2 linked regions of the Danio rerio genome follow. The protein of the gene in region 2 interacts with the protein of the main gene of each other region in a pairwise test. Links are inferred from orthologs where the notes say so. Each region holds a gene or a part of one and is shown on either strand. Other genes may lie near its edges.

What was found.
Region 1: the proteins of slu7 (region 2) and ppil3 interact in binary tests that used the Homo sapiens proteins (3 or more experiments, as listed by UniProt). The link is inferred for Danio rerio from reciprocal best matches to the Homo sapiens genes SLU7 and PPIL3.

Annotation. Positions count from the first base shown.
Region 1 is NC_133180.1:70,778,931-70,783,334, reverse strand, and holds the start of ppil3 (peptidyl-prolyl cis-trans isomerase-like 3), read right to left. Parts: upstream 2,843-4,404; 5' UTR 2,767-2,842; coding exon 2,764-2,766; intron 1,396-2,763; coding exon 1,321-1,395; intron 1,211-1,320; coding exon 1,117-1,210; intron 1-1,116. UniProt on the Homo sapiens protein: PPIases accelerate the folding of proteins. It catalyzes the cis-trans isomerization of proline imidic peptide bonds in oligopeptides. May be involved in pre-mRNA splicing.
Region 2 is NC_133189.1:50,631,410-50,635,240, forward strand, and holds part of slu7 (pre-mRNA-splicing factor SLU7), read left to right. Parts: intron 1-432; coding exon 433-586; intron 587-672; coding exon 673-753; intron 754-2,765; coding exon 2,766-2,930; intron 2,931-3,473; coding exon 3,474-3,542; intron 3,543-3,695; coding exon 3,696-3,725; intron 3,726-3,811; coding exon 3,812-3,831. UniProt on the Homo sapiens protein: Required for pre-mRNA splicing as component of the spliceosome. Participates in the second catalytic step of pre-mRNA splicing, when the free hydroxyl group of exon I attacks the 3'-splice site to generate spliced mRNA and the excised lariat intron.

The sequences.
Region 1 (4,404 bases), on a different chromosome or scaffold from region 2:
TTCTCATTTTGTAATTCTTCTACACATTTTTTTAAATACTTGTTTTGTTTTACTGAAAGTATTGAGAAGCCCAAAAGTAGATCAAACTTGGACACTAGTAGTTATAAGACACGGAATAAGGAGTCATTCAGCATCAGTGTTGACAAGTCTGCAGTTTTCCCAGGTTTTTTTTGATTATATAGTAACAGTTGGCAGGACTCTCCTGGATTTTTGCTAAATAATGACTAAAACAGCATATTTCATTTAATCTTTATAATTACTAATAAAAGTGTTTTTAAAAGAAAATGTGTGTAATGCATACAGAGATGTAAAATATATTCAAAGAGGAAAAACCACAACCAGCCGGAGGATTTGCTTTATCAGCTGTCAATTTGAAGGTAAGATTATTTTATTTATGAAAAACGAATATTTACCAATACCAATATACAGTAATTAAAAATAAAAAAAAGAAAAACTATATATTTTTTAATCCATTCAGTGATTTAAATTATTATTTTTACTTACGAGAATGGCAAATTCTGAGTTTAAGGATTGGGAGAGTTTTGATTGGCCATTGGCTAACTTTTGCTTTGAAAACCTGGCAACCCTGTTGAGCATAACAATCCATTCATTTATTTTCCTTCGGCTTAGTCCCCTGGTCACCACAGCGGAATGAACCGCCAACATATCCAGCATATGTTTTATGCAGCGGATGCCCTTTCAGCTGCAACCCAGTACTGGGAAACATCCATACACAGTCATTCACACGCATACACTACAGACAAATTAGCTTAATCAAATCACCTATAGCGCATGTCTCTGGACTGTGGGGGAAACCAGAGCACCCAGAGGAAACCCACACCAACACGCGGAGAACATGCAAACTCCACACCGAAATGCCGACTGACCCAGTCAAACTCGAACCAGCGACCCCAGATTAATAAGGGGACTAAGCCGATAAAAAAATGAATGAATACATTGTTCATGAAGACAGAACATTATTTCTCATATATGTTCACTAAAGTTATTTTAAACAATAACACAGTCACTTATATTTAATTTGCCTTAAGCTATATAAAATCACAAAAAAATGTCCCATAATGTAAGAAAGAAAGAAAGAAATCTTAGATTAGTTACCTGTTGGGTCTCCAGTCTGGACTATAAAGCCTTTTATATTTCGATGGAAAATACAGCCGTTGTAAAACCCACCGGCGCACAGTGCAAGGAAATTCTAGGGGGAAATGTCATTGGAATTAATGTAAAATAAAGATGGTACAAAAGCAACAAGGCTGCAATACAGCGATATTATGTATGTGGAAACAAGGAAAAAAGTAGTGTTACTTCACAGCTCTTCGGGGCTTTCTCACAGAACAGCTCTATTTTCATATCGCCGAGGTCTGTGTGCAGTGTGACAGCCTAAGAGATGATCAGATCAGCTTATTAATACAATAAAATTGCTGTTATTCAATTAATAGTTATCATCATCATAGGTCCCCGCCTGACTGACTACATTAAGTATTGCAAACATTATTTTATTGAGTATGAGCTAATCTCCAGATATTTCTAGCACAAAAAAAAAAAATCAGAATATTAGATAAATTCAAATTATAATTTTCCTCAACATATCAGAGCCTGGTTTTACAAAGCTGATTTTAGGAATAATTTTTTGAACTCCTCAATTCAGAAAACAGCTAGAAAATAACATTTGTTCAATTTGAGCAGGTAACATTATGTATAAACATACCCCTCAGTAAAAAAAAAACAACAACGTCAGAATATAGATATGAATAAAAGTCGGCTCTTTAAATTCAAATACCTATTGAATTTGCAAACAATACTCTTCTGAAATTACATTAAGATGAAATCCGAATATTGAGGTAAAGTGGGTTTTGTATTCCCTCATTTCGACTTTCTCATTAATTATATAACCTCAGTAAATCATTAATAGCAAATTCTAAATAGAGAATCATATCAGCAGCTAACAACCATCGAAGTACAAATTAAGGTAAAGTTGATTTTTGGGCTTTGGTCTTTCGAAAACATCCTAAATAAATTTTGAATTGTACTTTTTTTCTGCAACTTTCGTTTTCAATTGAGGAAATTGGTTGGTTTTATATTCGCACATTCGCTTAGTGACAGCTCCATACATTGTTTACCATGGTACTTTGAATATTCGGACTGTAAATAAGACTTCAAAACAACATTAGCACTATTCAAATGACTGTGAACAGTGTTGTACTTCCATGGTTGTTGGCTGTTGATATGATTTCCCTATTTAGAATTTGCCATTAATGCTTTACTAAGATTATATAAATCAGAAAGTCGGAATGTGCGCTAATATAAAACCAACTTCGCCTTAATGAAGTACAACACTGTTCACAAAGATTAAATAGTCAATTAAATAGTGCTAATGTTGATTTGAATCCCTATTTAAATCTGTTTTCAGTGCGAATATTCAAAGTATGGTACACTATGTATGGAGCTGTCACTAAACTAATGTGCGAATATAAAACCAACTTTACCTCAATTAAACACAAAAGTTACAGATAAAAGCCTAAAAACCTAAAAACTGAAAGCTACATGCAAAAAAAGTTTTTTGTTCGTCAAGCCACCGAATAAAATTCTCTCAATAAAATAATTTACCACACTGTAAGGTCAGTCTGTCCATTAAACAAATAACTTCAGAGCGGCAAAATGTTAGATTTAATATGTGGACTAAAATATAAACGACTCAAAACACTTGACTTACACGTTAATAATATAAATGTATAATAGTGATCTTACCATGTTCTAAAGAGACGAGTAAAATGATGCAAGCTCATACAAACAGCACGGTGCTACAAGCAAGCGTACCGCCTTCTGTGTTTGTGTTTCACTGTAAAACATCCGAATGTACTTAACGCTAAGAACTATGGTTCCCATTTCACACTCGCGTCTTCATAGATCTGTTTCAGTGTCTGCAGTTCGGCAGTCAAGTAAACATAAAATCAGTCTACATAAAGACAGGATTCATACACATTTTTCCTACAAGAGTTCCATGATTATTCCAGGACTTTCAAGTCAATTTTCATCATGACCTAATATTTCATGCAATGTCTACGTATACGCGATAAATCATAAGAAAAACAATAAACGTTTACATTTATTACAGCAAATCATAAAGCACGCAACAATCTCTTTAGTTTCAATTTATTTTTATATAAAATAGATGATGCTTACACAGCAGTAATGATGTGAGACCATGTTTTTTGTCAAGAAAAGAAGTAAAAACATCTAACCTCTATTTCAGCACACAGATCTGTAACTATTAACATCCTCTTAAATTAGTTTGACAAATATCGATATTTGTCAAATTAATTTAAGAGGATGTTAATATTTTGTTAAACTAGTAATAGTAGGTAAACTACATCTATTTTAAAGCCGCGATCACACTGCACTTTTTGCTCCATGGACTTCCAATTATAGGCATGCGAAGGCGGCAGACCAGAACACACAAGCACGCGCGACAAGTTTTGCATTTCATTCGCATTCGAAAGTTCAAGCTTGGTGAATTCTTACCTGTGAAATCACAGCAGGTGATTGCGTTAGACCAATAGAATATAATCTAAAATAAAAAAAATTAAAAGATGGAGCAATCGCGCAGTTTTATTAACATCTGATCATATTGTTTAACCTCACCCCTTTTCGCATACGACAGAATTTCGCAAGTACAAGCTCTAGTGTGACCGCAGTTTAAGTCATTTTGGACAAAAGAGTCTGCTAAATGACTAAATGTAAATGTAATTTCCATGACTTTTCCAAAACCTTGTGGGTTTTTCTGTTTTTCCAAAACATTTGCACGCCTAAAAAATGCCATGTCAAAATTCCATGACTTTTCCAGGTTTTCCATGACTGTATGAACCCTGTATACATATATATAAAAAACATAAACAAAACCACTTTAAGGTAAAGTTGGTTTTATAATCGCACATTCAGACTTTTTCATCTTAATTTTAATTTCAGAAAAGTATTCTTTCCTTATTCTAAACAGGGAGATCATACATTATTAGCAGCCATGCCTATTAAGGTACAACAGTGTTTACAGTCAATGAAATAGTGCTAATGTTGTTTTGAAGTCATACTTGCGTGCGATTTCAGATCATATATTCAGCATAGCGTTACAAGTTGTCACTGTTAAAAACGAACAAATGTGTGAATATAAACTTTCTCAATCAAAACTACGTGCACCATGTCAGAGATTGACCCAAATTAATCCCAGCTTCACTCCATATTTCTATTAACATCTGAAAAGAACATGTTTTATGATGCTGTTTGAAATATGCATTCTCTCAGACATCTGTGTACACGATATTTGGGTTTGTGAAACTCAACTACAGCAGTTTATGCAAGCCGAATGAAGTAACTGGAACAAATATTTGAGTTAAC
Region 2 (3,831 bases):
TGATGTGCGTTTTCAGCGTTTTGGTGTGGACGGAGAGCAGTTCAGAAACGCTGGGTAAAACGCGGTGTGGACGCGGATCGTTTTCATTCTACAACGCCGTTTTAAAACTAAAACGCACTGGTGTAAACGGGGCCTTAAAAAAGGCATCTTTGGACATCTTTCTTTTCTTTGGATATAAAGTCAGCTACTATACTGTTCATGTCTATAGCATGTTTGGATGTTGATGCATAAACTGTTTAATTTTCAAATGTTCAATTTTTAAATGCAATTTCAGACCAAATATTCAAAGTACTATGGTAAACAATATAGGGAGCGTGTCACAAGTCATCACTGAACGAATGTGCAAATATAAAACCAACTTTACCTCAATCATGTTTACTTGTCTTGCATGTGACTACTTTGATTTCTCTCACCATAATATTTTGTTTCCAGGGACATCAACCCTCATATTCCCCAGTACATCTCGTCTGTCCCTTGGTACATTGACCCTTCAAAGAGACCCACCCTTAAGCATCAGAGACCCCAGGAAGAGAATCAGAGCAAGTTTGCGCCCATTGGAGACTGGTATAAGAGAGGTGTACAAGAAGTAAGCCCTTCTCCTGCCTATATATTTATAAGCTTTAAAGACATTTAGTGTGTAAAACCCCTTTTCATTGCCCTTCTGTCATTTAGAAATCAGTGAACACGAAATACAGAAAAGGAGCATGCGAAAACTGTGGCGCCTTGACACATAAGAAGAAAGATTGTTTGGAGGTAAGTGGTTTATACAACAATGTTATGATACATGCATGGATAGGTTGTCATTACCAAATAATGTTTGGTTTTAGGTCATTAAATTGATTTTTAAACTTAAAAAAGAAACTAATGCATACAGTTATTTAACAAGTATGCAGTACAATTCATCAAAAGAGACACTTAAGACATTTTTTAGTTTCAAATAAAAATTATTCATTAGAGAATCATGAAAAATGAGTCACAGCCTCTAAAAAACATTAACCAGCAAAACTGTTTTCAACTGATTATAATACTTTCTGGTGGAGGTCTGAACCTAGACTGGTCTCACAGTTCGGTTACGATCATCATGACATCGATTCGGTTAAATTTGATATCACGGTGCATTGATGATGCTTTCCATTCACAATTTTATATTTTACTTTACAGCACAAGAATTCTTGTATTAAAATTGATAAATGCATTTATATATTATTTGTAATACAATTTTGTCCTTTAATACAGCAGTCAGATATATGAACTGTACCTTTACTTTTACCTGCTCAAAGAAAACACTCTTTTTAAATGTATCAAACAAAACTAAAGTATATGCACAGAGGACAACATGAGCATGTATAGCAAACAAACTAATGTATATATTATCGGATTATTACATATAAAATTGCTTTTTGAGCACTGTCGAGCGAGATTTGAATTGCCTATGATTGGTCACGCGCTCAACAGAAAGGGCTGCGATTGGCTTTAACGCTTTCGCGCTGTTCATCGATGAGTGACTGATAATCAGCACGCCAGTGCTCCCCACACATAGTCTTTACTTGGGCGGGCCGCCCAGGTATATTAATGGCACTTTTACTTAGAAAAACGATACTATATACTCGGAGACGACGAAATGACGTCTAAACTGGCTGCAAAATATATGTACACCCTTAGTAATGGTTAACCAACACATTTGCTTTGTTAAAAAAAAAGTACTCTTTTAATCTTGAAATTACGATCATTTTTAGAAATACTGTCTGTCTTTACTAACTTTTCTGTCATTTATTTCTCATTTGCTGATTAGTTTATTAATTTGATGATGTTAATATATTACATATGCTATTTTATATACAATTCTAAAATGCTTTGGCATTCAAATTTACTTTGAACTTGAAGGAGAGAGAGAGAAGCAGATTTGACCTGTCAGTGGGTGCACATGGCTCCTGATTTGGCTGACATGGCTTTTTTATTTCAGTCTTTTTTAAACAGCCTTTTTTTTACTTTAATCCATTGAAAAGAAACAGTGTCATAACAAATACAACTATTATTAACAATACAATTATGTTTTGTGGCATATATTTAGCTATTTATGTGATTTGGGTAAATGTTGTGTTTTGATCCGGCTACCAAAACCTCACTCTGCAAACACGCTCATGTCTGGATCCACAAGTATCGCTGTAACAGACGAGAGGAGAGGAAATGTTACCTCATGACAGCAGGCCAAAGGTCCAGAGCAAGAGAGAAAAGCAGAAAAGGAGTTTACAGCTTTCGCTTTCTCAATAGCAGTGGAATAGGGGCTTTCGCTGTAACTTCAGTGTCAGTAATATATTGTCCACCAAACTCACAAGCAGTGAATTGTGCACAGTTGTCTGCTTTTTAAGTAGTTGAAGTATTTTAATTACTCGCGGTCGCCTCCCTCGTCAGAGTAGGCTACCGCAATATAGCGCATAAGATAAATGACGTCAGTACGCAATAACCGGTTATGATTATTACTGAACCAATACCAAATTGTCCACGTCTACATCACGGTGTATCGAAGAAACAATTATTTTGACACCCCTACTTTCTGGAGAAGCAAATCAGCATATTTAAATGGTTTCTGAAAGGGAAAATGTGACTCAATTCAAACATGGCATCAAATGAATAAATTATAATTTTGAAAAAATATATAAAACTGAAATCATTTAGTTAAAATTGTAAATTGTTGAAATTGAGAAATATTTCTATATAATAATCTTACATTAAAATGAAATTATGTCCAAAAATGTTTTTCACAGAGACCCCGAAAGGTTGGAGCAAAGTTTTCTGGCACAGGCATCGCACCGGATGAGCACCAGCAGGTTCAGCTCTCGATGGATTATGATGGAAAGAGAGATCGCTGGAATGGTTATGATCCTGATGAGCACATGCGCATTGTAGAGGAATATTCTAAAGTGGATCTGGTGAGTCAAACATACTGTTGGATATGTTTGTGTGTTTATGTTCATTCCATAATAATGACCAGGGTAAGAAATGAGCGGATATAGACCATGATGATGCATTTACATTAACATTTGTGGATCTTATGTTACACAATTATAGTTTTGGCAATAGTCAAAATTATTAATATTTCCTTTATGCCCAAAATCATTAAAAATATTAAGTAAAAAATTATGTTCATTTGAAGACATTTTATGAATTCCTTACTATAAATTTATAAAAATATAATCTTTAAAGTGATTTTTCTCATTATTTTTTATTTATCTTTTTAAACCTTCTGATTGCAGATTTCAAATATTTTTATCAATCAAATTTTGTCCTATCCTAATAATGTATACATCTTATTTAGTCAGTTTTTTTTTGCTGTGTATCAGTTTCAATATAAATCAAAATGACTGGTTTTGTGCTCTAAGGTCACGTTTATTGATTCAGCAGATGTTTTTGAGCGACTTACAATCAAGGATAAAGGAAGCATGTCTAATTATTATCTAATTTTATCCCCACAGGCAAAGCGCACTCTCAAAGCTCAGAAACTCCAAGAGGAGTTAGCATCTGGTAAACTAATGGATCAAGCTGTAAGTCTTTACAATATACTTTATTTTCTAGATGTTTTTACACATTCATTTTTTAAGCATGTGATATTTGTCACGTAAAAATGTGTGCTATAAAGTTTGATTTGATTACATTTATTATCTGTGTTTATAATTCTATATGTTTCAATCTTGCAGAACTCACGAAAGCATGAGGAAGCAGTACAGGTATATATCATGATGTGCAGCTGGATTATAAAATAAAACTCAATGTTAAAAGCCACTAACTTGATTCAACTTTTTTCCCTGAACAGGACCACAGCAGTGAAGATGA